Arabidopsis thaliana: one gene and its partners. The protein of the gene in region 3 interacts with the protein of the main gene of each other region in a biochemical or structural test. Each region holds a gene or a part of one and is shown on either strand. Other genes may lie near its edges.

Evidence for each region.
Region 1: the proteins of RIC1 (region 3) and ARAC5 form a complex in vitro, tested with the Arabidopsis thaliana proteins (one study listed by BioGRID).
Region 2: the proteins of RIC1 (region 3) and ROP1 form a complex in vitro, tested with the Arabidopsis thaliana proteins (one study listed by BioGRID).
Region 4: the proteins of RIC1 (region 3) and ERH3 form a complex in vitro, tested with the Arabidopsis thaliana proteins (one study listed by BioGRID).

The regions. Positions count from the first base shown.
Region 1 is NC_003070.9:28,469,945-28,478,302, forward strand, and holds ARAC5 (RAC-like GTP binding protein 5), read left to right. Parts: upstream 1-5,704; 5' UTR 5,705-6,019; coding exon 6,020-6,118; intron 6,119-6,486; coding exon 6,487-6,574; intron 6,575-6,661; coding exon 6,662-6,771; intron 6,772-6,883; coding exon 6,884-6,947; intron 6,948-7,029; coding exon 7,030-7,094; intron 7,095-7,172; coding exon 7,173-7,238; intron 7,239-7,334; coding exon 7,335-7,433; 3' UTR 7,434-7,858; downstream 7,859-8,358. Other genes in the region: LCR67 (low-molecular-weight cysteine-rich 67), read left to right, coding at 2,461-2,524, 2,632-2,810; VPS35B (VPS35 homolog B), read right to left, coding at 8,109-8,319. UniProt on the Arabidopsis thaliana protein: Involved in cell polarity control during the actin-dependent tip growth of root hairs, thus regulating root hair length and root hair initiation.
Region 2 is NC_003074.8:19,041,077-19,044,893, reverse strand, and holds ROP1 (RHO-related protein from plants 1), read right to left. Parts: upstream 2,037-3,817; 5' UTR 1,698-2,036; coding exon 1,599-1,697; intron 1,509-1,598; coding exon 1,421-1,508; intron 1,330-1,420; coding exon 1,220-1,329; intron 1,137-1,219; coding exon 1,073-1,136; intron 993-1,072; coding exon 862-992; intron 781-861; coding exon 679-780; 3' UTR 501-678; downstream 1-500. Other genes in the region: VPS35C (VPS35 homolog C), read left to right, coding at 47-260; AT3G51290 (pyridoxal-phosphate-dependent serine hydroxymethyltransferase, putative (DUF632)), read right to left, coding at 679-780, 862-992, 1,073-1,136, 1,220-1,329, 1,421-1,508, 2,478-3,231, 3,321-3,544. UniProt on the Arabidopsis thaliana protein: May be involved in cell polarity control during the actin-dependent tip growth of pollen tubes. May regulate callose synthase 1 (CALS1) activity through the interaction with UGT1.
Region 3 is NC_003071.7:14,171,987-14,179,612, reverse strand, and holds RIC1 (ROP-interactive CRIB motif-containing protein 1), read left to right. Parts: upstream 1-3,647; 5' UTR 3,648-3,860; intron 3,861-3,961; 5' UTR 3,962-4,051; coding exon 4,052-4,109; intron 4,110-4,215; coding exon 4,216-4,316; intron 4,317-4,405; coding exon 4,406-4,484; intron 4,485-4,586; coding exon 4,587-5,023; 3' UTR 5,024-5,232; coding exon of another isoform or gene 5,233-5,465; 3' UTR 5,466-5,469; downstream 5,470-7,626. Other genes in the region: GLTP1 (glycolipid transfer protein 1), read left to right, coding at 1,663-1,780, 1,990-2,045, 2,295-2,425, 2,520-2,655, 2,752-2,883, 2,979-3,014; PRPL28 (Ribosomal L28 family), read right to left, coding at 5,233-5,465, 5,795-5,993; AT2G33435 (RNA-binding (RRM/RBD/RNP motifs) family protein), read right to left, coding at 6,387-6,981, 7,075-7,154, 7,248-7,337, 7,457-7,567. UniProt on the Arabidopsis thaliana protein: Functions as a downstream effector of Rho-related GTP binding proteins of the 'Rho of Plants' (ROPs) family. Participates in the propagation of ROP GTPase signals in specific cellular responses. Required for cortical microtubule organization.
Region 4 is NC_003070.9:30,203,325-30,212,106, reverse strand, and holds ERH3 (P-loop containing nucleoside triphosphate hydrolases superfamily protein), read left to right. Parts: upstream 1-3,838; 5' UTR 3,839-4,056; coding exon 4,057-4,184; intron 4,185-4,415; coding exon 4,416-4,887; intron 4,888-5,218; coding exon 5,219-5,416; intron 5,417-5,585; coding exon 5,586-5,830; intron 5,831-5,905; coding exon 5,906-6,064; intron 6,065-6,149; coding exon 6,150-6,237; intron 6,238-6,326; coding exon 6,327-6,608; 3' UTR 6,609-6,793; downstream 6,794-8,782. Other genes in the region: AT1G80360 (Pyridoxal phosphate (PLP)-dependent transferases superfamily protein), read left to right, coding at 1,464-1,526, 1,631-1,678, 1,837-1,965, 2,108-2,167, 2,259-2,415, 2,495-2,660, 2,736-2,844, 2,919-3,371. UniProt on the Arabidopsis thaliana protein: Severs microtubules in vitro in an ATP-dependent manner. Required for oligomerization of functional KTN80-KTN1 complexes that catalyze microtubule severing. This activity may promote rapid reorganization of cellular microtubule arrays.

The DNA of each region.
Region 1 (8,358 bases), on a different chromosome or scaffold from region 3:
CCACATCTTCATCAAGTATTTTCTTTAAAATGTAGGGGAAAAAAAAATCTAGTTCTTTTGTTCATAGTCAACCTGGACCAGTAGGTCGTTGGGCCTTGGGTCTTCAGTCACGTCGGCAATCAACATTCACTTACCCATTTGAAACATTGGATCAGCGTGACCAATGCCAACCCATTAATCTAAATGGTTTAAACAATCAAGCGTGCAAGGATAAATGCATTGGACTTGAGAGAACAAGATATGGAATTTGAAATGTTGCCTTACCAGTTAACAAGTGTCTCTGTTTCCTCCCAAGTTAATGTACCAAAACTCTTTGGTGCTTAATTGTGGGGGCTTTTATAATATTGGGTACATTTTGGGCCATAAATTAGAGAAAGAGCACATTATGATTGAGTTTATGAAGATAGGCAGTTTTTGGGAAATAAATTGACGAAATTGCCCCTGCGATTTCACTCATTCTCCTAAATTGTTTTTGCAGAATCTTTTCCTGAATTGTTTTTGCAGAGCCTCATATTGGATCGATTCCTAACTTGTTTCAATGGATGATGTATTAAGTACAGAGATTGATTATCCTATTTCTCTACTTAATCAATGTTTCTTTCTACAAGACAATATATACACAAAAGATGTATTTACGGAAACAAAATCGATAGAGACAAAAATTAGAAAATCTGTTAATAACATTTCATCACCATCCAATTCAGATAAACCCCAATAAAATCAGTTAAAAGCTTTTTGATGGAAGAAAGCTAACCCCTAAGAAAATATTATATAACGAACCCAAATATACTAATCTTAAATAATTGGAATCGATTAAAATTTTCAATTATTTCTTATCCCTCTTTGAAATTGAAGAAAGAGAGGATGAAATTAATTCAGATCAAACAATTCAAATTCAAAAAAGCTATGGAGGATTACCACCTGCATCGTCGAGGAAGAAGATTGGCCAGGCATAGATCTGAATTTTGTAAGGTGATGGAGAAGCAATGGACATCAATGGTGAGTTTAGAGGCAATAGATTCCATGCCATTAGAGAAAGAGAAAGAGAGAGAAATAATCGCACATTTCTGAGATCGATTGATATTGATGAATTCTCCTCAATTAGATTGAAGGTACAAGGAGAAGAAACTCAATTAGATTGAAGGATAAAACAGTCATCCATATAATATAAAAGTATCTAAATTTGTAAGGAACATGAGATGTTCCTATATCTACAAAAGCACAGACTTTAATATGCTAATCCCATAATTGATCCCTTAATTGTGTGTGTATTCAAAATAAGCCCACTTCTTATAGGCAATGTAACACTTGACTCAAAAGCCAAAGCAGCCACTTAAATAGTTAAGTTACATTAAACAGAGAAGCAGCCTTCCCTAAGTTAAGCATTCTTAATCTAACCAAATATAATTCATATCTAACAATGTTAACTTCTCTTTCTATTCTTAATAATAACCTAACAAATTAACTTGGGTGGTGTACTATTCTGAGTTTGTTACTTGTCTTGTCCATGCACGGCTAGTGCTGGTGCTGTCTTAGAAGGGCTTGAAGGTACGTGGCTGTTGATACAGAAAATGTTTAAAGAGGAGACAAGTCTTTGTCAAAGTTTGCGGATGACGGCTATGAAATCGAAAACGAATTTTCTTTCAGTTTTTCTTAAAAATTTTTTTTTACCTTAAAACAATAAGTTAAATAAATAAAATTAAATCGGATTTATCTTCTCGGTCGTCCGAAAATGGCAGAGTTGAATCCAAGAAGTTTTGTGTGGGAGTTGAGGTGGGAACTACGAAATTAAATATAATCTATGCGCTATTTTACAAATTTGTTAGTCCAAATCCACTATGTTGCTAATATTTAATTACATGTTTAGATCCTAATTAGTTTGATGATTATATAATCAATACCAAAGAAAGTGAAGAAATAACCTAATTTATCAACTTGCCAGCTAGTGAAGTAGCTCCTTGGAGGTTTCAGTAAAAAATAATAAAAGTCGATAAAAAAATACTACCCAACTTCATGGTTTATTATTAAATGCGATGTGGTCGAGACAAAGTACCACTTGAGTACCGTACTAGGATATGCTCAACATATTTAAAATTTTGACCAAGTCAAATTAACCAGCCAGAGATGTTAACAGTTAATGTAGTAGCCACCGGTCCAATGAAATTGCAAATGAACAAACGTAGCACCTGAAAACTCGCCACCGATCACGATCAGCACACTTTTTATGAATTGGTCAAGATATTATCTTCTATCATTAGATGAATACTTGCATGTTAGTATTCTCTACTATCAGACGGTGTGTATTTTTTTATTTATAGGGTTGAACGCTTTATTGTCCCATGCACACGTAAAAGTCGACCTCCCCATCATTTTTTCACTATAAATAGTGGTTGATTTCAAGCAGATTTCTTCAAACTAAAACATATATACATCGAAAACAACTAAGTATAAACAATAGTCATGGCTAAGTCTGCTACCATCGTTACTCTTTTCTTCGCTGCTCTTGTTTTCTTTGCTGCTCTTGGTGAGTAATGATGTTATCGTATACCATATGCATGGAAAATTGAGTTTTAACCTTTTTTCTTTCATTTTATTGTGATAATTAACTGTGAGAGATATATCTATATGCAGAAGCACCGATGGTGGTGGAAGCACAGAAGTTGTGCGAGAGGCCAAGTGGGACATGGTCCGGAGTTTGCGGAAACAGTAACGCGTGCAAGAATCAGTGCATTAACCTTGAGAAAGCACGACATGGATCTTGCAACTATGTCTTCCCAGCTCACAAATGTATCTGCTACTTCCCATGTTAATCTACCAAGAGCTCTTAATGCTTAATTATAAAGTGTGTATTTCTATTAAATAAGTATGTGTCACTCTATGAGAGGTCTTATGACATGTACCAGATATGTTATGTTGCTTTGTTTTAATAAGATAAACTTTTACGTACGACGTATACTACTGTTTCTTCTTGTCCATATTTGTCTGCAAAACTCCAACACAACACAAACGATTATTTGAAAATAGAGAATCGGAGGAATATGTTATAGTATTTCATAAAAACTGCTTATAATAAAGAGTATTCAGCTTATACATAAAAGAGAGCTAGCTACATAACACAATCTCCGACTTAATTATATACCAAAGAGATTTACCTAGCTAATTCAACTTTAAAAAACGAGGTCTTGTGTTGACATCTTTGAATTTTTATTTATTGTACTTAGGCTCGGCTACAATGTAAAAAACAGGCGGTTTCGGAGAAGAATACCAAATGTATGTTTCCACCAAAATTATGTCAATTTACAAGACTGATATCTAGAATGTTCATGCTGATCAGCTAGTTATGTGGTTATTCAAAAAATATCTATAGATATCCCAATTCCAAGATTTGTAAATTATGTTAATATAAACAAAACTGTTACTTCTATGGAGTTTGAACCAGCGTGGCAAAAATTTCCTGCACCCATATTAATATTAAATTATCTCAAGCTAGTATCTGATGTTAGATTTGTACTGTGTATCACACTGTACGTATGCTTGCTTACTTATTACTCTATTACAACAGATATTTGTGTGTTTTCATTGTTAAATAATGTAACAGAAATTTGTGGGTTTGACTGTTCTTTTTACTGAATTTCTCACTACTTGAAGTCTAACTAGAATAACATGTGACTGTTTTATAATTTATAGTTCGAGGTTGATTCAGAAAAGTCGTAAAAATCTCTCATAAATGTATTACCGTATGGCTCTATATTGCATATATGGGCCCAATGTCTCAAGTCTCAACCATGTTTTAAATTTTCAGTACTAAGCAATGCATATGTTTTTGTTAGACACAATTTTTCTTCTTTTTTTGATAAAATGTGAGTTTTTTTTTTTTTTTGAAATGTGATTAATTACCAAAATGGAAACATTGTTACTTGCAAAAATCTTTGGGACAAATAGCTTCTAAGACAATTTGTTTTTTAAAAAGCCTCAGAAACTAATAAACGCAAAGATTACAAATAGAGAACTATTACGAGCTAGGCATGGGAAAACCATTGAGAGAGCAGTCACCGCGGCCTTTGCGGTACCTTCGAGCCAGGAGAGTGTCTCTAATTAATGTGCTCCTGTCGATTTGCTTAAAGACAGAGGCAAATCTGTTATGGAGACTGTTTGTACTTGTCAAACTATGGGCCATCAGTCGACCGCAGCCATTGTTAGACACAATTAACTATGTGCGCCATCTATTATGGAGACTGTTTCCACTTGTCAAACTTTAGCACTATGCCTTTAAAGCTTTAACAAATGTTGAATGACTGAGAAACCGACAAACTTTAGTCTACTACATCTTATCTATATACTAATTACGCAACAAAAAAATAAAAAAAAATTGGATAATGTTTTAAAACATAACATATTTTACTCTTCTTCTATGACAGATGAATTACTACATTCCAAAATAAACAAGTAAAAACTCTTGTTTCGTGGATAAGCATGCACTAGGCAGTCAATTCATTTGGAGTCTCACCAAACCAAGTACCCCATGGGCCCTGGTGGCAAAAATGGTCACTAATCATGATATTTCAAGAGTTGTCATAATGGGCCTTAATTCGCTACTGGGCCTCAAGTGTGAGCCTTCGTGTTATTGTCTTTTCTAGCTTCCAGTTGTGTTAGTGTGTTTGTGCCTTTGTGTTATGGCCCTTATGGCACTCCATATTGTCACTTGAATCACTAATGTAAAGTTTATTCATTTTCAAATAAGTCGCTTTAAATAGAAGCACTAGATTTCATGATCAATCATTATCAAATTTCTTATAAAAAAAATCATAAAGCCTGAAATTCATTTCATGTAAGAATCAGAATGAATGGGTAAAGGTGTTTTTGGTTGAGAGTAGGTAGAAGCGTAGAGCTAACTCTAACCCCTTCTTTAGTTTGGTATGATTGAATATTAGTTCATATAAATATAATTGGTGAAATTTTGATGTGTCCTTGGTCCTTTAGAAGCAAACTGTAATAATGCGACCGTATGATTTGGATAAATCTAATGTGGGACAATTCATGATGTGTCGTATGCTCATTGGTAGGTTGAAAGAGAGTTGAGCACGTTCGTGTAAGATTTTTCGATTCTTATGTCGTAAAGATGAAGAAAACTCTTTAAAATTACAACTATAAAAACAAAGACAAAGACACTCTTGACAAAATTAAACCATATTAATTTGATAAGGGATTTGAGAAAAAGGAATGAAATGGTGCCGTAACACTAAGTCGCACGTTCTTGACGAGAGTCGTCCCAATCCAATGATTAATATTTGGCAATTTCATGCCCTCCCTCCCCATAGTTTGGTCGTTTATTATGCTTTACTCTTAGTTTTTTTTCTTAAAAATTATAATCTTTATTTATTTGCTGTCTTTTTTTTTTATAATTGTCAATTAGGTTAACAACTATGGTCAAATTAGAAAACATTAGTTTTTGTTAAAAGAAAATTAAAAAAAAAATCCATGTTTATTAGTGAATTAGGTTTTTATTTTGGTGGTAGTTTAGCTAATCTCATAAAACAGATAGTAATTTCATAATGTAAAAAGATATTTCTACTATACAGAAAAGGAAAAGAAAAAAAAAAACTCATTACAACGGATAATTTCTCAATTTGTATTCAAATTCAAAATTAAAAGTGCTCAAAATTAGTATTATTTAAAAGAAATACTAAAGTGGGGTGAGTGTAAATGATAAGGTGTTGTTTGGTGTAGCAAATAGCTGGCATAAGGTTGGTATTGAAAAGCTCATCTCAGAATCATCAACGGCCCAAAACACATTGCAAATTAAAGAAAAAGCAAAGATTTTCCTCATTCTTTTGCCATTATTATCTCTCATCGATTTGGCTTGCTACTTTTGAATTTACCCGTGTTCTACTACGATTCGGGATTAGGGTTTTTTCTTGAGTTAGAAAAGATTGTTTCTTGATTCTTGGGAATGGCTGGGATTTGAGGAAGAAGAAGTGCAAAAGGGTTCTTTTTTTGAGTTTGTGAATTTGCTGCGGAGATGAGTGCTTCGAGGTTTATAAAGTGTGTCACCGTCGGCGATGGTGCCGTCGGAAAAACTTGTATGCTGATTTCTTACACAAGCAACACTTTCCCTACGGTAAAGTTTCTTCCTTTTGCTCTCAGTAGTGATCTTGAAGCATTCTTTGAAAATGGGTTTTTGGAGATTATTCATCTTTGTTCTTGAATGTGATTGATTAGCTGGTAAAAATTGTAAAAATCAATTCTTGACATGTTTCTTCAGAACTTTTATTGATGCTTCCATGGATTTAGCTTCTTTGTTATTTATCTTTACCTATGAGCATTGTTCTTCTTTCATTTTGGACTTCATGTTCAATTTGTATGTATTAGTCAAATTTGCAGATATGAGGATCTATAATCTTTTCCATTATTGTGTGTGTTAATGATGATCCACTATTGTGTGTGTTTTAGTTTAACAAACTCTATGACTTGGTTACTGAATATCAGGACTATGTTCCAACTGTTTTCGACAACTTCAGTGCTAATGTGGTTGTAGATGGGAACACGGTGAATCTTGGATTGTGGGATACAGCTGGTAAATAATCCTTTTGAAACTCATCAAATCTGGTTTTCTTGTTTTTTTGTGGTTTCATTTTGACTGATAATTCTTGGGTTTGTGCAGGTCAAGAAGACTATAACAGGTTAAGACCGTTGAGTTACCGTGGTGCCGATGTCTTCATTCTTGCATTCTCGCTTATTAGCAAAGCTAGCTACGAGAATGTAGCCAAGAAGGTTAGCTTTTTGTTGATCTAACGTCTTTCATTTGATAGTAATAACTTTCGTTAAGCTGATTTTGAATTGGTTCCTTCATTTGCTTTTTTTTTTTTTTTTTTCTTTATTTCAGTGGATTCCTGAGCTTAGGCATTATGCCCCTGGTGTTCCTATAATCCTCGTTGGAACGAAACTCGGTATTGACTCTCTTCTTGTCTAAAAACTCTTTCCTTATAATAAGAAAGAGATGAATAATAATTCAAGTTTTGGAATTTGCAGATCTTCGAGATGACAAGCAATTCTTCATAGACCATCCTGGTGCAGTGCCTATTACTACAAACCAGGTACATAACTCCACAATTCTTTAAAACAATAGTGTTTTTTGCTTTGCGAGTTCTTGATCTTTAGTTGTTTGTCTGCAGGGAGAGGAACTAAAGAAACTGATAGGATCACCAATCTACATTGAATGTAGTTCAAAGACTCAGCAGGTATACTACACACATAAATAATATCTCACATGTCTTTTTGTTTGGGATTTTTGTATTTGGTAAGACAGTGAAAATGTTGATTGTTGGGTTTTGCAGAATGTGAAAGCAGTCTTTGACGCAGCCATAAAAGTGGTGCTTCAGCCACCGAAACAGAAGAAGAAGAAAAAGAACAAGAACCGCTGCGTGTTCTTGTGATCGAACATCTCTTAAAACGAAAAAAGGTTTAGGTAACAAAAGAAGCTGAAGGAAAACGAACACCTGCAACATTGTATAGTTGTTGAATCCGGCTTGTTTCGGTCTTTACTCTTCTTTTTGCTGGTGAATCTAATGAGTGAACTGAGGCCAAGAGGAGGATTCTGGGTAAGAGAAGGGGATGTGTTCTTTTCTTGGTGTGTTGTTGTTGTTGTTGTACTTTTGCTATGTAGACTAATCTCTTAATACTATGTTGTCTTTGTTTTTGCTGTTGGGGTCCATTTTGTATTTTCTTTAACAGAAATCTTAATTAATTTTTTAGTGACTTTTTTTAAGCTTCCGTTGATCTTATGGTCTTGTATTGGTATGTAATTAGATTCAGACAACGAAGAACATCTTGAGATAGATCTCTATATACAATAAGATTAGAGACATCGTTGAATTGAGGCATAGTTTCAAAGAATGGTTTACAGAAACGAGGATTCTATACACACAGGTGAGGTGAGTATAAGGAACAAAGAAAATAACAATTACAAAGGTTTTCTCCATTTTGTAATAAGACCGAAAAGAAAACAAACATGTGTAGTGTACACTTCCTTTTCAGAGTTTCCAACATTTCTTTGGAAAATACAGAGAATTCCTCTCGGGATTTGATGAGGCTTGTGTCTCGGATTTAAGTCACAGCTTGATAGGGTCATATTTCTCACCCATCAAACCACCTTTCTGTTTTATGAACTTAATGTAACGCAATGTACTTGTAAAGAAGGGATCTGAGTGGATTGTCGTGTTACCGTTGTCGCTTTGCATCTCATTGTTGATCAATTCTATGAGGCTCTGTATATCAGATGGAGTGATATGTGGATTCCCTTTCTCAAAGAAGTAAATGTACCTGTTGTATATGAAAAAAACATTTTTAGTATTGAGATGC
Region 2 (3,817 bases), on a different chromosome or scaffold from region 3:
CCAGTTGTCACTGCTTTCTCTTAATGGTTTTACGAGTCAAATGCAGGTATCTCTACTTCCTGGAGAAAGGAAACCAACAAGTAACAGGCGATACAATCAAGAGCTTAGCTGAATTAATCAAAAGCGAGACAAAGAAGGTTGAGTCAGGCGCAGAGCCATTCATAAATAGTACTCTACGTTACATCGAGTTTCAGAGACAGCAAGAAGATGGTGGCATGAATGAGAAATACGAGAAAATCAAAATGGAATGGTTTGAATGAATTTATTTCTTGCATTCTGTTAGGCAAATCATCAATAATCAATGGCTTCTCGTCTTGTTGCAGAAGCATGAAGAGTAATCTTGAGAAATAAAACTTGTATCATTACTTTTCATTTCCTAGTTACACTCTCTACCAATAAACATGTTTGCAAAGTTTAAAACAGTAACATACAAAATATGGTCAGCTGAAGAAATGGTGGGAATGAAAACTGATTCAAAACATGTGGTGTTTGTGTGGAATTATGCATAGGACTGAATCGTAGAAGCAAAAGAAACGTTGATTCCGACAAACTCCATTAATATTAAGAACAAAAAGGACCAGTCAAACTTGGGTGTCTGTCCATTAACACATTGATTCATTCATTGTTAGAAGATTAATATACCAAAACCAAATACATAAAAACAGAGATTTCCAATCATCATAGAATGGAGCATGCCTTCTGCGCTTTGCTCTTCTTCTTCTTCTGCTTTGGCGGTTGCAACACCACTCGGATGGCTGCGTCAAACACCGCCTTCACATTCTGCACTCTCACATCATCAACATTAGCATTAACATTAACATTAGAAATCTGCAACAAGGGTATATATACTAATCTACGTACCTCTTGAGTTTTGGAACTGCATTCGATGTAAGTAGGTGCTCCTATTTGCTTCCTCAGCTCCTCTCCCTGAGCAGTAGTAATCGGAACAGCACCAGGATGGTCGATAAAGAACTGTTTATCATCTCGAAGATCTGGAGAGCAAAAACACAAACTCAGTCACAACTAATAAAGTAAAAGGAGCGAGATCAGGAAAAAACAATGGAAAACTCACCAAGCTTTGTTCCAACAAGGACGATGGGGACACCAGGCGCGTAATGTTTCAACTCCGGGATCCACTGCAAACACAATTTGTGACAAGAGTTCAAAAAATGTGACGAAAACTCAATAATATGAAACAAGATTGATGGATTTTTAAAACCTTTTTGGAGACGTTTTCATAACTGGCTTTACTGATAAGAGAGAAGGCCAAAATGAAAACATCTGCTCCACGGTAACTCAGTGGTCTTAATCTATTGTAATCCTCTTGCCCTGTTTATTCATACCCAAATTTTCAAAATCTTCAGATCCAAAAACCATATTCCAAATTTCAAACACCAAGATATATAGGAAAATGAAAAACCTGCAGTGTCCCACAATCCAAGATTCACAGTGCTTCCATTAACCACAACATTGGCACTGAAATTATCGAAAACGGTAGGCACATAATCCTGTATATCCACAAAAGAAACAAGAAACATGAGATATGTTGTTGTTGTGGTAATGAAACAAGAAACATGAAAGAATAATTGGGACATAACCGTAGGGAAAGTGTTGCTTGTGTAAGAAATCAACAAACAAGTTTTTCCGACAGCTCCATCACCAACCGTCACGCACTTTACGAACCTCGAAGCGCTCATTTCCCCTCAAAGTTTATTAATTTCAGGGAAATTTATAAAAAAAAAGATCTCAAAGATTTAGCCTTTGGAATTGGAGACTCTTGATATTTCTATTGATCGACCATCTGGGCATTGCGGATTCGAAACGATTGGAGTTTGTCCCAGAGATTAGAAACCCTATTACCCAAAAAGATAGAGGGGAAACAAAAAAAATGAAAACTGGAAGATGGCACAAAAACCGAAAAAAAACAAAGAGTTAGTTAGAGTTAGCTTTGGCCGGGAAAAATGGCGTTGAAACGTTCCGCTAACCAAACTTGTCTTTCTATTTCCGATTATTGTGGATTTCCTCTTTTAATAGCTCCCAACTAATCAAAATTACCAATCGATTGTGTGTTTATTTATGGGAAATCAAATTAGGCACTTGTCTTTTTCTGCCGCTCAAACGAATCATCTCTCTTTTCTTCTGTTACGTACACATCACGAGTGTTTGATTATCATTAAACTTGCTTACTTCTTTAAGCAATCCCCTTAACTACCTCACTAACTAACTAACTAACACTTCTCCAATGTTAATAATACCTTGGTAGGTCACCTTCCAATGATTTGACTTGGCTAAGAAGTAGTTGAATTGATGAAGTTTCAAGCAGTGATTCAATGAAAAGTCATTTAACCAATTTCATTTCGAAAACAGCATAAACTCAACCTAACATTCAACCAAAAGATTAGCTTGGATCAAGCAAAAACAGAGAGCAAATGGTAAAACAATTTGTCTTTCTCTCTTTAAGGAAGCAACCTCTTAACCTCCTCTTGATCCTCACCGATGCTCTTAGCTTGGTTGTACACAGACTCAAAGGCTTGCATACACACACTTGAAAACCCAACCATTGCCTGAAAGACATGAGGGAAACCCATCTGCAAGTTATTTAGAGTCATGGCTCTAGTCACACTCACTGACTTCTCATGCTTACTTTTCTCTTCTTCTGCTTTTCCTTTTAGCATCTCAACCTTTACTCTCTTCTCTATCACCGGGTTCTTTTTCCTACTCTCAGGTACCGAGTATGGACTATACTTGCTCTCAAGCGCTCTCAGCGAAGCCGATTTCTTCTCGAAATCTTTTAACATGGATTCTGTTCTCTTCTTTTGCTTATGCTCGTCGGCTTGTTGAGCCACAATTCCATGGACTGCTGTCAGAAAGCTTTTGATCCCTTCAGATGCTACTTTATCAGGGATCCTGTCAATAGCTAAATGCCATTCCTCGCAGAAGCTGTAGATCTTTGACTCGTAGCTACTCCTAACAAGTGGATTCTTGCTGAACTGGAACAGACTTAACCTGAGCCAGCCCGTGAGAGATTGTATGTAGTCACGTTGGGCCTTGACCAAGTTGCAGAAAGAGTGATGCCATTGTTGGACCTCGAGCTCAAGCTGAAGAGTTGATTGTCGGTGAAGCTCAGATGTTGGTTCAGTGGAGGGGATGGTGTTAAGGTACTTAAGCTGCTGCACAATATGGGTTTGAACCTGGTGGCTCTCGTACATACTCCTCCACATACACATTAGCCTACATTACATTCATACAAGAACCTTGTTCACATTGACCAACATAAGATACTTTAGGTTAATGAAGCAATGGGAATGCACAAAACAAACCCTTTAACAAGCTCGACAAGCTGAGGGTAAAGCTCGGTCTCTCTGAGCTTGATGATCTCGTTAGAGGCGCTTTGGATGGCTTGTGAAGATACTGAGAGCTGAGATTCTAACTTCTCGACGTCTTTCTTAGCCTTCTCAGTCTTGACATACTCAGCTCTCTTCATCTCAAGCCTCCTCACTTGCTCCACTTTCTTCTCATGATCCATCTTTATGCTCTCTGCATACTGCAACAAAACCCACATTCAAAAAACAACAAACACTCACTCACTACTTGGCAAGATATTTGTGCCAGTGTACATAACACATTATTCATCAGAATTAAGTACACACGTGGGTCTCTTACACTATCTGCTCACGCTTGGACCCACCACAAGCCTTTAATGCCCACATGAATCAACCAAATTCCCAAAAACAAAACATTTATCCATATTTGGATGAAATCTAAGCAAGCAATTTCAATATTCAAACTTCAAACTGAATATAAACAACATTTTCAA
Region 3 (7,626 bases):
CAAAAGAAGCGTGATTAGTGCGGAACATAAAGAATTACTCGTACGAATGACGACTATAACAAAACAGCAGCGGATATAGAAACTAAGTTTTGTTGTGTTCAAACATAATTTATTTATCAACAAGTGAATACTATATAATTTAACATACGGTTAATGTAGTTGAATCGTATCGTACATTAGTGTACAACTTTTATGTAGAATACCAAATACAATGGGTTAGTTTGGCATTAAAGGTAGGGCCCAAAGGAGGGACAATGGGAGACTTCAACAAATGCCGGTTGCGTGAGGAGAAGGTAAAGGTCATGTCTCTTGTCCAAATAATACAATGTGGATTTGTCGTCAACGAAATCCATATCGACTTTTTTTTTTTTTTTTTTTCTCTTCCATATGTTCTTGTTGTATGTCTCAACATAATATTATTTTTAGTTGCGGTCAATAATTGGGTTGTAGAGAAAGTTACGAAAAATGAAAATTACATGTCAAGAAATGATACTTTACTTGCTCATACTTGTTACTCACTCGGCTTGTTAAGCTTTATTGTGATAGTCAATTACTCGTTTATATTTCTACTAATCCAGGATATTTCTACTAATCCAGGTTATTACAATTTCACAAAATATTATCAAAGTGAACTATCATTTTATTTGAGTTACGGTCTTAATTAGATGAAAACAAACCAACCCCTAGAATCTATGGATAATGAACTAACATGCTAAAGTTTTGACCAAGCGATTGGAAAATCAACAAACGAAATGGAAACTATTATGTGGCAATACTCGAGTACTATAGACCCAACTGACCCGACATAATCTCTTCACTTTTTATTTTGTTATCTAAAAAAATTCGGTATAAAGCCTTGTTTGGTTTCAAATTTTATCCACTTGAGAATCTCATATATCAAGATGAAACACCTACAACAACAAATGTAACTTCATATGTCAGGACCGGTCCGCAGGACAAGCATGTAATAAAACTGTGTGTTTTCTACATTTTCTATGAAATGGGTGTAATTGAAAGATACTAAATGTTAGGGCTTTTCAGAAACTTCCGTTACGTTTTAGGCGTTTAACACAATTATTATTTTCTAAAACGAGAGCCGTTTAAAGAGAAAGAGAAATTTCTAACTCCAGAGAGCGAAGAACACAATCCCAGAGTAGCAGAATCTGATCCATCCCACCTTTTTCAATTCTCAGGCAAAGGTACGATCTTTCTCCTTCCCCGTTAGAGATCAGCCTTAGATTCGTCATTCTCGTCCATTGAATCAATAGATCTCGAATAATTGTCTTGTTTTATTGTTTCTTCTCACGCTGTTTTGATGCTCTTGCTTGATTGGTGGATCCAATTGAAATTAGATCTCTGTATCGATTCGGTTGATGCCATTTTTATGATTCTTGTTCTGGATTTCCACTGTAATGGAGCTGATTTAAATAGTTCTATATCTGCATGTGTAGAGAGATTGTTGGCTGTTTCAATTTTCCTTATGGAGCTGACTCATTTTTACAAAGTGACTTTCATGTTTGATTCAATTCATTACCTTTTTGCTTGAGTTAATGTGTTTCTCAGTGTTGTTCATGTTGTTTCTCAGTTTTGGGTTTGTTTAATGTTGATTATCTTCATTCTTCAGTGTTTGATCTCATATTCAGATAAGTCAAACTTGAAAAAATGGAAGGGACTGTGTTCACGCCTTGTTTGGAAGGAATGAAGCATGTCAAATCTGATCAAGGCGAGATGCTTACTAAGCCATTTTTAGAGCTTTGCAAGACCATCTTGCCTGTTATAGGTAATAAAGGGAGAAGCTTTTTCTAATTGTTTCTTTGTCTGTCTTAATACTTTTAATGAGGTTATTGACATTTGTTATTGTGATTGTTCCTTGTTCTTCAAAACTTCGAAGTTCACGTATAGCTTGTGATTGTTCATTTTTCCTATGTAACACAAATGTTGTGTTTCCTACATGATGACTTCATTTTTCTGTGGTTATCTATTTTCCAGATAAATTTGGAGCTGCTATGACTCTCGTGAAATCTGACATTGGTGGCAACATAACGGTAAAAAATGCATTGTCTGCCCCTTTGATAATCGAATAGCACAAATCTATTTTACATTCACAGTACAAACTACTGACAAAAATGCATTGTCTGCCCCTTTTCTCGCTCTTCTTAGATTGTAATGTGTACCTCTGATGGCGGAGAATAGGCTAGTGAAAATGTCCTGTAGACTGTAGTAGTGATATGACCTCTCTGTATTGGATTATTGTCTTCTTACAATATAACTTTATTGGTCCGTCTCTTGTGTAGAGGTTGGAGAAGAACTACTTATCTGATCCCGACAAGTTCAAGTACTTGTACACCTTTGTTCAAGTCGAAATTGAGTCTAAGATAGCAAAAGGATCGTCTAGCTGTACAAACGGTCTTCTCTGGTTAACCAGGTAAACGATGACAACATGTCAACAATACACACCTTTATTTCGAAGAGAGCAGCTTCTCAAAACCATATATATCACCTATGAGTGAATCTTTCAGAGCAATGGATTTCTTAGTGGAGCTGTTCCGAAACTTGGTAGCACATCAAGACTGGTCAATGCCACAAGCTTGTGCTGACTCATACCAAAAAACACTCAAGAAATGGCACGGATGGCTCGCCAGCTCTACCTTCTCTGTATGTACTCACTAGTGCTTCTCTGTGTAATCAGCATATTCTGCAAACCAATCTCATTTTGATTTCCTGAGACACGGTAAACTTTGTTTTTATCAGATGGCTTTAAAGCTAGCTCCGGACAGGAAGAAGTTCATGGATGTCATATCTGGTTCTGGTAACATCCAAGCCGACATGGAAAGGTTTTGTGCTGAGTTTGGTCCGTTTCTTCATGATAATCATAAGTTTCTGGTAAACAAAGACTTTAAAAACTTTTGAGTCTTTACACTTTCTTCAATTTCATCACACAGGCTTTGATTATTTTGTTCTTGTTTTCTTTTTGGCAGGCTAGCGTCGGTATGGATGACATGAAAGCTTCTTAAGTCATCATATGATTATCGCCGGTATCAAATCTTCTTTGCCGGAATCTTTGTCTGTTTTAACTTTTCTCCTTCCAATTATAGAACCTCCAAAAAGAAACAGAATAATGTGTTGGTTTCTATCTGAATGTTCACTTTATATTACAAGTTATAACATACGAATCAATCTTATCAACTCTTCTTGTTAATGTTTGTTATGAAAACTTGAATCTTTCTTTTCATAATCTAAGAAATTTATTTTCAAAATATTTCACATAACATAATAATGTTTAACTTGTTAAAAAATAATGTAAAGTCTTTAAGATAGTAAATCTCATGCTTCAAAGTTCAAACCATTTTGCTTACTATTGCAAAATCTCTCAATTATTATCTTAGTATTCAGATATCACATTTTTCAGTATTTGCAATCTATGCAATTTCTCTAAATAATACTTTATACTATCTTAGATTTCATTAGAGTATGTTTATTAGTAAAATAAGAAATTGGTGTGGTCGTGTCTCCTTCCATTCGACCCGGAAAATCCTCTTGACAACTTGTTTCCCAAAGGAGGGTTCCCTTTGATAATAGCTCTACGTTGCCTCCATTACCAATCAACAATCTAATTATAAAATTATCTGTTAATTACAACTATGAAAATATTTCTTTCTTTTCTAAATTTTTTTATCCTCTGTTAAAACAACAACAAAACTTAGTGCTCTTCCTCTTCTTCTTTTTGGTCTGTTGATCTTTAACCAATAACTCCTCGGAGATCTCTCGATCCTTCTCTCTCTCCCTCCCTCCCTCTCTCTCTCTCTTCAAAACATTTCAACATTTTTTTTTCTCGTCAAGAGAAAATCCATGCGTTCAAGGTTTAAGTCTTCAGATTTCGTTATATTCTCTGTTGTTTTTTTGTTTGTGCCTTACAACTTTTTTCTTGATTTGTTCTTCGTTTTCTTTTTCTGCATGTTAGGTTTACGGTAACGATCGTCAAATCTTGAACCACAAAGGTTGTATCCGGCGTGTGGATACACATTAGCCGGAACCAACCCTTTATAGACCAATGGCGACGACAATGAAGGGTCTTCTTAAGGGCCTTCGTTACATTACTCAGATTTTTGGTGAGTCTCATTCATTTTCCCCATAAACATGAAAAAAATGAAAAATCATTTGTGTTTCTTGTGTCAAAAGTCAAATTACATGGTGGATGTAATTATTCTATTGCAGATGAAGAGAAAGAGCAGGAGATGCAGATAGGATTTCCGACCGATGTAAAGCATGTTGCCCACATTGGCTCCGACGGTCCAACCAACACCACACCAAGCTGGGTAAGATCATACGTACATTTATACGTATTTTCATACATGTCACACGTATCTGTGCTCATTATTGTTTTTTTATGGGACAAAAACTGCAGATGAATGACTTTAAAACTCAAGAACATGAGAAAGGTCAAGTCGTTTCCAGGGGAAATTCCAACAAATACAACCCGCAAGGTTAGTTATTTTTGCAAAGTGTGTTTTTCCTTTTCCCTTAAAGTGTTAAGCTTTGAGGAACAAATCTGGATTGGTTCGAGGAATTGATGTGTATCTCAATAGGGACGAACCAACGTGGAGCCGGGCTAAAAGAGTTACTGCCTTCGAACACAAACGAGAAACCGAAACAGAAAACAAGGCGGAAACCCGGAGGAGCAGCTTCTCCAAATCATAACGGGTCTCCGCCTAGAAAAAGTAGCGGAAATGCTGCATCATCAGATGAACCATCAAAGCATTCAAGACATAACCGAAGCGCACACGGGTCAACAGACTCATCGAATGATCAAGAACCATCAGTTCGCAGAAGGCGTGGTGGTATCCCGGCTCCAGACACAGAAGTTCCTAATCAAATACCTGATGGTTCAGCTCCTCCACGGAAGGCTACATCGCGTCCTAGGAAACTAAAAGGATCATCAGCAGGAGGAGAAGGTTCGATTAAGAAGTCTTCAAAAGGAAAACCCGAGAATTCAGTTGATACAACCTGTAACGATATTATCTGAGAAACATAAACAAAACCATGAAATGTATTATTTGAGCCACCTGCAAGTGAGAGTTTGTTTTCGTTTCTCTTTAAAGTCTTTTCTTGACAGTGTCTGATACAACAACTCAGAGATTCCATTGATACTTACCAAAATCTAGAAAGGAAATGTACGAGTACTGCAAAAGGAGAAGCAAGAAATGTATATAATAAACTTTGCGATCATCATATCTATTTCTTGCGAAGATCAATGCCGGCTTTCTTGGCAACAGCGTCGAGTCCGTTCTTCTCAATGGTCTTCAAAGCCTTAGTTGATAAACGAAGTTTGACAAAACGTTTGCCAGCTTCCCACCAAACTCTCTTGTATTGTAAGTTGACGAATTGCAACTTCTTGGTCTTGTGGTTAGAGAATGAAACTTTGTTTGCTCTGTTTGCTTTCTTCCCAGTAAAAGGGCAGATTCTACCTGACATTTTGGAAAACAAAAACACAGTTTCAAGAAAAAAGGAGCAAATTGCCCAATGCTCAGAATCATATAAATGTGGTCAATTTTGGAGAATTTTTTTAACATAACATCAAATTCAAAGGAAAAGTTTAATACGAGAAATTATGCTACGGGTTTTAAATACACTGCTCATTTTCATATCTAAAAGCAAAGACATAGTTCCAGACAATTCAACACAAGCTTGCTAACTCAGAGATTCGAAATTCGACATGAATAAAACGAAAGCAAGATAAATTTAGTACGCCAATGCATTCGACTAAACCCTAAGAGAAAGGGAAAAGGGGAATTACGTGCGACGATTGGCTGAATCCCGGGGAACGAAGGAAGGGAGATACGGTTGATGACGTCACTGGGAGTATATGAGATTCTTAAGCCGCTGAGCTGGGAGGTGAGGAATCCAAGCTCCTTTGAAGTCACGGTTGACTTGGTCATGGACTTGGCTGATGAGGTCATTCGTAGCCAAGCGCCTTGTGTCGCCATTGTCGTCATTTTTGGTTGCTGTTACTTCTGCTTCGAAGGAGGATTTGGATAAAGAAGGAGATTGGGTTCATTTTATTTATTATTTTGTAGAAAATGAAAGACGCTTTCTCATTCAGAAGGTTACGTTCTCTTTTAACACAACAATTTTTCAGTAAGCAAACCGGTCCATATAGCCACCAACACAATAGTATGGTTTCATCTTTCCCTTCTTGGATTCTCTAATACATAAAAGTAACGAGACACAGGTGGTGATGAATAATCCAACCTGATCAATCCCAACGATTACAAAGAGATTTTTGAAGGGTTTTTGATTGTAGATGCTATGTATCTCTGAACTCGGTTTGAACCGGTTATGTGGTAAAGATGAGAAGAATCACAGAGTCTCACTTGTTGTGGGATTATTTACCCACTTGGGAACCGGATTTGGTAAAGCTCTTTAGAAACATATTCTGCTTTCACAATCCGGTTATCATATAGCCTTCCGTGTAAAGAATGGGCTGCATCACATGTCGCTTCTGGTCTTCTGTACTCAATGAAGATACAACCCGTCTCAAATACATCCTCGGGGTCTTCTTCTTGTTCTTCTTCTATCTTGTCGCCAGCATCCCATCTTGTCTTCACGGTACGCACTGATGCTACTTCTTGTGGATTCTCTGCCTCGGCCTGCGCACTTTCTTCAACAATCTTTTCACAATGCTCTTGTTCAGTGGAGTGTAGATCTTCATTTTCTTGAGTGCTTGTTTCAGCAGCAGTATCCGAGCACGGTTCACATAACTTGTCTTCACCTGTCAAACTGTCTGGCATGACAACCTCTGCAAGATCTACATTGTCTGCAATATCTTCCGCTTTCTCGGATCCTTCATCTTTCTCCTCGATCACTGACACATTCATTTCTTTAGAATCAGTTGATTCTAAGTTCAACAATGGATTTGTTTCAGAAACAGTGATATCTTTGCTCTTGTGTTCCAAGATGTTTATCGACTTAATAACCCCAAACCTGCATCATGACAAGACCCAGAGGCCTATTTTCTTAATTTACTAGCTTTTAAAAGCTCAATGGACTCATGGGAAGATGATCTCAGAGCTTAACCTGGCACATTCTAACCGTACATCCTCCAAAATTTCTTTCACTTCTTGCTCGGAAAACGACGTGAGATCTTCTGGGTCAACCTGTCAAACAAGAAAGAATGGAATGTTAATATAGCCTCACATAGTTTATTTGGGAAAGATTCACAAGAAAAAGGATACACCAATTATGCTTACCACATTTTTTAGCTTTAGAATATTCTTAGGCTTGCCAAGAAGTGGTTTTGCATGGCTAGGTATCCCATAGAATGGTGGATTCTCATTCACCTGCAACACATATTACGTACACACACCACTCTCACAAGTAACTAAAGGAATTTCTGTTCAATGTCACCCATACAAACACAACATGAACTAACGAAAGCAAAGTTGGGTCACTGAATTACCGCTACGGATGATGCATCAGGAAATGCACAAACGGCTGTTATTACACTGCCACCTAACCTCATACCATTTAGACCAGCACAAGCTTTGAGGGTAACAGATCCATCAGTGTACTGAAATATAGAGATTTAAAAAGAGTTAGGGCTGGTTAATATGAATATACTTGGAACTA
Region 4 (8,782 bases), on a different chromosome or scaffold from region 3:
TATCAGATTTGAAATGAAAATGACAAATCTTTTAAAGTTAAAGTTGAGTCTATTTTGTTCGGTAGTACGTGAAAGGGCAGTAAAGTCTACTGATTAAGTCAAAACTTTCATATGAAACTTTGATGTTAAGTGATATAATCGAAGAAAGCATCACAAACAAACAAAAGTATCCTTGGGATAATTATTTATATACAACGCACGAGTAATTCAAAAGCTACAGTGAGGAGCTATAACCAATAGTCTCACTTACCACATGGGAAGTTACATAATCAAAGCTCATGGATTTCAAATTTAGGATATATACAGTATGTTCTATTGTATATGTATTGGACTAATGCGTTAAAGCTGTTATAGTGTGAGAAGGACGTAACGAGAGGTCTTCGTGGACCTAATAATAATAACGTTTTACGGTTTTATCCAAAGACCAAAAAGCTACTAGATCTACGATTCAAACCAACACGCATAAAGATGAAAATTAAATTTTAAAAACAGATCTATAATCAACATGTCATGTTTGGTTGGTCTATTTTTTTCAAGTTTTTGAACACTCCCAACTTTCCCTCCACTCCTTTAGTTTACCACAATACCCAATCTATCTAAACATGTAACCACCAAACTCCAAATAATTTGCATGGCATGTTTGAGTAATGTGATCCATGAATTTGCTTCTTTTGTAACAACAATGCTTCTTTTGTAACAACAACAAAAATGTCTCGTGGAATATATGTTTGTGCCATTCGGATGAAAAATGAATTGAACGATGAAAAGGGCTGAAGAAAAACAAAGGGTTCGATTACCAAATATATAGAAACATGAAGGGCCTTTTATGTGATTTATTAGGGAAATGATAAACGCAATCAAGAAAAATAATTCTACGTTTGAAACGTGACGTTTGATTCTTTTTCTCAGGGCAAAGGCAAAGCAAATCCTCTGGTTGATCAGTAACATGTGGCAGAGGAAGAGGAATCAGACACTGCAAGGAACACACACGAGAAACGTCTCTCTCTTAGTTCTGGTAAAGTTTTGACCTCTCTCTCTCTCTTTTTCTATCAGAATCTGTAGAGTAGTAATGGATTTTTAAAGCTGGTTGATAATAATTTTTGGATCTAAGTAACAAAGGAAAGGCGTTACTCTTTTTTTGTTCTTTTCAAATTGGCGTAAAGTAAAGAAACTACTTTTTATTTATTTTCTCTTAAATAGATTAGATTATGATTACACCAAAAATAAAAAAACATGAAGTAAAAAACAAGGGTAGGTGAAGAAGAAGAAGAGGACAAAGAACAGGCGTGCTTAAGCAACGCTCATCTCTGTTTTAGGTTTTTGTCAACGATCCCTTTTGCATTAGGTTGAGAATTAATTCTGAATTTCTTGCATACTAGCCAGTGTGTATATATAATCAAACAATTCGATCCTAATTGGAAAATTTCTCCATCAGGTTCAGGTCTCGATCGAATTGATTTGAAATGGGTTCGTTTGGGATGCTTTCGAGGAGAACGTTGGGCACTGATATGCCCGTCATGGCTCAGGTCAAACCTCGTACTTCTCCACTTCCATTTTCATTTGATTTGATTTGATTGGTCTCTTGTCTTTTTTTCTTTAAAGTGAGAAATTGTTGGGGTTTTGCGTGCAGATTCGGAGTTTGATGGCGGAATTGACGAACCCCATGTCTCTCGCCCAGGTTTTGCCCTCTCTAGAAATGTGTGTTTTATTTATAATCTAATCTAGTTTAGTTCACAAAAGACTTGGGCTTTCGTGAGTGGTCACCTTCTTTGGCTATACTTTGTCTGGAGTTTTGTTTTGTCTGCAGGCTGATTCTTTTGCTCATGTGCTTTTCAGGGAGTGGTGCATTGGCAGCCTCCTCAAAAGGCCTTAGAGAAGGTCAAGGAGCTTGTCTGGGATCCTATCATTAGTTCTTATGGCCCCGATGAAGGTCTTCCCGAGTTGAGACAGGCTCTTCTCAAAAAGGTAATCGCACCGTACTGAACCATTCTTCTAGCTAGCTCTGGCAACCTTTCTTGTATCCAATAAAGTGACCACTTTTGCTGCTCTTGAATCCAATTCCGTGACTGAGCTTGTTTTATTTTTGATTCCTTGTCTTGTTCTGAAGCTGCGTGAAGAAAACAAGCTAACCAATTCACAAGTGATGGTTACTGCAGGTGCCAATCAGGTATAACCTGTCTTTGTTTACTCTTTTGATTGCTCTTCCTTCTGTTTTCTTCTACTCTCATACTCTGTTTCTGTTTTTGCATCTAATGTAGGCGTTTGTGAACCTTGTTATTACATTATGTGATGCTGGTGATTCGGTTGTCATGTTTGAGCCATACTACTTCAACTCCTACATGGCCTTTCAGATGACAGGAGTCACCAACATAATTGTTGGTCCTGGCCAGTCAGACACTCTCTATCCTGACGCTGGTACCTCCTTGATTCTGTATCACGTTTTTCATGACTTAACATAGCTTTAGTTGTGACCAGTGAATCATTTTTGTTCCAGACTGGTTAGAGAGGACACTGTCTGAGTCTAAACCGACTCCGAAAGTTGTAACTGTTGTGAATCCTGGTAACCCAAGTGGCACCTATGTCCCTGAACCGCTGCTTAAGAGGATTGCTCAAATATGCAAAGATGCAGGGTGCTGGCTGATTGTAGATAACACATACGAGTGAGTTTCTCATTTCCTTAATTCCTATGATGTCCAAATTGAATGTAGTAATAAGCGGGGATTTGAAAATCGCAGGTATTTCATGTATGACGGTTTAAAACATTGTTGCGTTGAGGGAGACCACATTGTTAATGTCTTCTCTTTCTCTAAAACCTATGGCATGATGGGTTGGAGGCTTGGATATGTGAGTGCTCGATTCAATTCTATTCCAAACTAAACACTGGGATTGTCTTATAAAAAGGTTTGATGGACCTGCAGATAGCTTACTCAGAGAGATTAGATGGGTTTGCAACAGAGCTTGTGAAAATTCAGGACAACATCCCAATCTGTGCTGCCATAATCTCGCAGCGACTGGCTGTATACGCATTAGAGGAAGGTTCTGGGTGGATAACGGAACGGGTAAAGAGTCTAGTGAAGAACAGGGATATTGTGAAAGAGGCGCTTGAGCCGCTGGGGAAGGAGAACGTTAAGGGAGGAGAAGGAGCGATATACCTGTGGGCAAAACTGCCAGAGGGACACAGAGATGATTTCAAGGTGGTGCGGTGGCTGGCTCACCGCCATGGTGTGGTGGTGATCCCGGGGTGTGCAAGTGGTAGCCCCGGGTATCTCCGGGTTTCCTTTGGAGGGTTGCAGGAGGTTGAAATGAGAGCTGCAGCGGCGAGGCTGAGGAAAGGAATAGAGGAGCTGCTTCACCATGGAATGGTGGAGTGAGACGTTGTTTAAAGAAGGGTCAAAAGATGGTTACTTTGCGTTTGGTTGAAGCTATATAGTTGTTTTAAAAAGAAATAAAAGAGTGTTTGTTTATTCAATAATCAATATAGCTGATTCTTCTTTACAAAGTCATTGTATTTGGGATGTTGTTACCAATGGTTGAATCCTTAACCCCTTTGGTGTATGTATATACTCTTTACTTATTCAAATGAATAATCCAGCAATGAATGCAAAAGCAAAAACTGGATCAGCTTTATTCGTTATGAGTCTTTCTCTAAATTCAAAAATTTAAATTCGAGTCTTATGATTGACGTTATGACTTGTGAGAAATTGATAATCTGGCCTTTTATTTGAAATTTTAATTTCTGAACCCAGAGGATAAATAAAGTTAAAATCGATGATGATTTTAGGCTTTATTGGTTTGAAAGTGGGCCGTAGATGGGCCCGAATCTAAAATATTTGAATCGAACCCGAATAAAGAAAGAGAGGTTGGATCATAACTACCATCGACGTGGCTTCCATCTTCTTCTACTTTGTCTTCCATCTTCGCCGACGAGTCACATCTCCGAAATCCGGAGCCGGAGAGGGAGAAAGAAGGAGAATTTGGGTTCTCCGAGATCGAAGCTCTTGCCTCGGAACCCTTGATTTTGTTTTGGAATAGGCTATTTTTTTAGTAAAAGAGGAAATGGTGGGAAGTAGTAATTCGTTAGCGGGTCTACAAGACCACTTGAAATTAGCGAGAGAATATGCACTAGAAGGATCCTATGACACATCTGTCATCTTCTTCGATGGCGCCATTGCTCAGATCAACAAGTAAGTAGCTCCTCTTATCTCTCCAGTCTTGAATCTAGCTTTTTTGTCACCCCTTTTGGCAATTTCTTCAAGCCCTAAGCTACTTTAATAGTTTCGTGTTGGATTGTATTGAAATGGGCTTAGAAAAATCTAGAATTTTGCAATGTTCACCGTGCAATGTCTGTGTAGACAGAGATAGAACACTCTTATGTGCTGCGTTAGTGGTTCTGAAGCTATGGTATACTGTTTTAGGCATTTAAACACCCTTGACGATCCTTTGGCCCGGACCAAATGGATGAACGTTAAAAAGGCCATAATGGAAGAGACGGAAGTTGTGAAGCAATTGGATGCAGAGAGGAGAGCATTTAAAGAAGCTCCCACTGGGCGTCGCGCTGCTTCTCCACCTATCAATACCAAATCATCCTTTGTTTTTCAGCCCTTGGATGAGTATCCAACTTCATCCGGTGGTGGTCCTATGGATGATCCTGATGTGTGGAGGCCTCCTACCCGTGATGTTACTAGTCGAAGACCCGCCAGGGCTGGTCAAACTGGTACTAGAAAATCACCTCAAGATGGGGCTTGGGCTCGTGGCCCTACTACACGGACCGGTCCAGCTTCCCGTGGTGGCAGAGGTGGGGCTACTAGTAAGTCAACTGCAGGTGCCCGCTCTTCCACTGCCGGAAAGAAGGGAGCTGCCTCAAAATCTAACAAGGCTGAGTCTATGGTAAGTTATATGTTTTTGCCTTTTGGTATTGCACAATAGAGAAGGTTAAACTTGAAAATTTTCCATCAATCAATATTGACTATGGCATTTCCATTTCCATTACTTTACTTTGGTGATAGACAGGATGTCATGAAACTTCGAAGTTGTTATGTTATAGTAGGACTGATGTATCAAAGATCATGATTTCTGTTACGTTTATGAATGTCTAATTCTGAAATCTGTATTTAGAAACTTTAGAGTCATGGCCATGTTTCCTGTGGTTATGTTGAGTCGGTAGTTTCCACCTATTTTCAACAACTAATAAAACTTTCGGCTTCCTCGTTGATATCAGAATGGTGATGCTGAAGATGGGAAGTCAAAAAGGGGATTGTATGAGGGACCTGATGAGGACCTGGCTGCTATGCTTGAAAGGGATGTGTTGGACTCAACTCCTGGTGTCCGTTGGGATGATGTTGCAGGTTTGTCTGAAGCCAAAAGGCTGCTTGAGGAGGCAGTTGTCCTTCCTTTATGGATGCCCGAATACTTTCAGGTACTTTGATTCTGCTCCATACGCTGTGAAATTTGGATTCTATATTACTATTATTAGACATGGAGCAATCATACAGAATAACAGTTTCAATTCATCATTTCCGTAGACTTTATATTTGATCTTCCAGGTATAGAGGATACTTAATTTGATTGTTTTTGTTTCCCTTCAGGGTATTCGAAGACCATGGAAAGGAGTTCTCATGTTTGGTCCTCCTGGGACAGGTAAAACCCTGTTGGCAAAAGCTGTTGCAACTGAGTGTGGTACCACCTTCTTCAATGTATCTTCTGCTACATTAGCTTCAAAATGGCGTGGAGAGAGTGAGCGCATGGTCAGATGCCTGTTTGATCTGGCTAGGGCATATGCTCCAAGCACAATTTTTATTGATGAGATCGACTCTCTCTGCAATTCTCGGGGGTAAATTTTCCTGACGATACTGAGATTTCGATACTGAAATGAAAAGTATTTGTAATTGGTGGAGGTGTGATGCAGGGGTTCTGGAGAGCATGAATCATCAAGAAGGGTGAAATCGGAACTCCTAGTTCAAGTAGATGGAGTGAGCAATACAGCGACAAATGAAGATGGTAGTCGCAAAATAGTAATGGTATTGGCAGCTACCAACTTCCCGTGGGACATAGATGAAGCTCTCAGGTTTAAATATTCTTTGAGTTAATGCCGTCTTTAGACTTGCTCTAATATAATGAAATTGCTGATTCTGGAGCTCACGTTGGTGCAGGAGGAGGTTGGAAAAACGTATATATATCCCACTTCCAGATTTTGAAAGTCGTAAGGCTCTTATCAATATCAATCTGAGAACAGTTGAGGTTAGTTGTGGATACATTGTTACAACACTCGCAAATCTCTCTACTGGTCCAACGCAATCAATTTAGCAATGAACATTGTCACTTTTCAGGTGGCGAGTGATGTTAACATTGAAGATGTGGCCCGGAGAACGGAAGGGTACAGTGGAGACGATCTGACTAACGTGTGCAGGGACGCATCAATGAACGGGATGCGGCGTAAGATAGCGGGGAAAACGAGAGATGAGATAAAGAACATGTCGAAAGACGATATATCAAATGATCCAGTGGCAATGTGTGATTTCGAAGAGGCCATTAGGAAAGTGCAACCGAGTGTGTCTTCCTCTGATATCGAGAAACACGAGAAGTGGCTCTCTGAGTTTGGATCTGCTTAATTAAACCCACTTTTTTTAATTTAGTGTCAAAAGATGTGTGCCTTTTCTTGTGTGTTGTTGTTTATTGTATCATTATTATTATTTGCCAGTCATTTAACATATTCTTATGTTTCTATATTCCAAACTTGTAAACCTCTACGAAAAAAGAAAAGGATTATATGATTTTCTTCGGTTTTTTGGCTTCAGACTTAGTGTTCATAATTTCTTTACTGTCTTAGAAGAAAAAAACCAGCAAAGAATCACCTTGGTCTTTGTATCTCCAATACGTTGCAATCATTTTGAAAGTATTTGTATATTTTGTAAATGATAGGGATTGAAACATCATCCTATCGTTGACCAAAAATTTCACTGCGTGCTATATAAAATACTATATATGTTACCCTTTAACTGATGAAAATGTAAAGAGACAAGGCAGCACCGTTTATCATCAGACCAGTTTCGAGAGTGTTCCTGCATCGTTGGGCTCCCTCCTCAATTTTGTCTACGTGATTATATATCATATCGTCTACAAACAAAATAAATACAATTCTATCATATGAATATGTGATCATCGATGATCGATCAATATATGTTTTCGAGGTGACGTATATAGTATATTTCCGTAGAGACGGCGAAGAACATGATATCTCTGCATGCCTCCAATCAAATCTTTACACTTCATCCTTCTTCGTTACTTGTTCAGTTGTTCCTTTCTAATCCCGACAACCCTTAATTTGTATTTCTATATTAGATCGAAATATCTCATTTGTGATAAATAAAATAAAAAAAATCAAAGAAAGCTATAGAGAAGCTGCGTGCATGCATGGGTTGGCGATGTTTGGCTTGTTATGTTTGGCTTGTTATGTGGCATTATCTGTATGTATATTACCCTAAATCACATCTACGACATTTCCCTCGATCTTCAAAATATGCCAGCAATCTTCATGTTTCCTCATATCTCTTAACATTGGAAAATGTCTTTTGACCTCTTTTGATGTATTTTAAATTACTTCGAGCTCATCTATATTACAAATCATTCATGGTGAATTATTGTCCAGCCAATAGAATAGAAATCTGAATATAATGTGTACCACATCTTTTATGTAATTTATACGATATTCTTTTTCCTGAGAATGATCAAATAACAACATGCATGAATTGCTGCCAGAAAACGTCAGATTGATCAGTTATCACTACAATTATCAATTAACTAGTAAATAGTATCAAAATGTACGTAGTGCCCATCTATAGCTAGCTAAGGAGGACTCCGGATGTAGAGAAAAGCTAAAATGTGACTTGCTAGAGTTGTATTATATTGAATTTTCTAAACTAATAGTATCTTTTTTACAGATAATAATTTCCGGAAAACCTATTAGATGTATAGATATAACAATAAGCATCGATACCAACCTTTTACTTCCAAAAAAAAATAAAAAAAAAATGCCAAGATGAGATAATTTTGTCAATTTCAATTAGTGGGAAAATAACAATTGTCGTGTTATTTTTGAACCAACGCATCTCAGTGAATGATTTCCCAGTTCTTAAGATTTTAGGACATACTTTCCCAGTAACATCTAATCCGTTTGGGCATAAACAAGACAATTTGTAGTTATGTACATTTCTTAGTGATGTGTGTTGAAAAGATATGAATCAATGAGGTCCGACATATTTTGTCAATACGTTAGTGGTGTTTCAAAATAAATTTTTAGTATATATATTAAAATAAGACCAAAGGATAGGCTTTAGTGGTGTTTCAGGTATAGTTTTAATAATCAATTCAAAATAAGTCGAAAGGATATGTAAGATAGGCGTTATTTCAACGTGGATCATTATCAACCATGTCAAAAACGCATTTCAACTCCTAGATGTGTTGTTAGTTATATATGTTCCAAATGGAATCGACCCAACAGAAAAAGAGAAAAAAACGTAAAAGGTTATGCGATTCCAGGGACGTCTCATATATATATATATTCCGATGAAATATAAATATAATTATCGTGGTCTGTGACAATAAATATGGAAATAGATGTGGAAATCATGATCATGTGAAGAAGAAGAAGAACACGTGCAGATGAACTGCAAATGATAATAATGTGCATGTCCATGAGTTATGTACTTATGTGTATTATCTACGTGTTTTCCATACATACATATATAAATCTTATATTACTTTATGGTTTTGTCGTAAAAGTTAC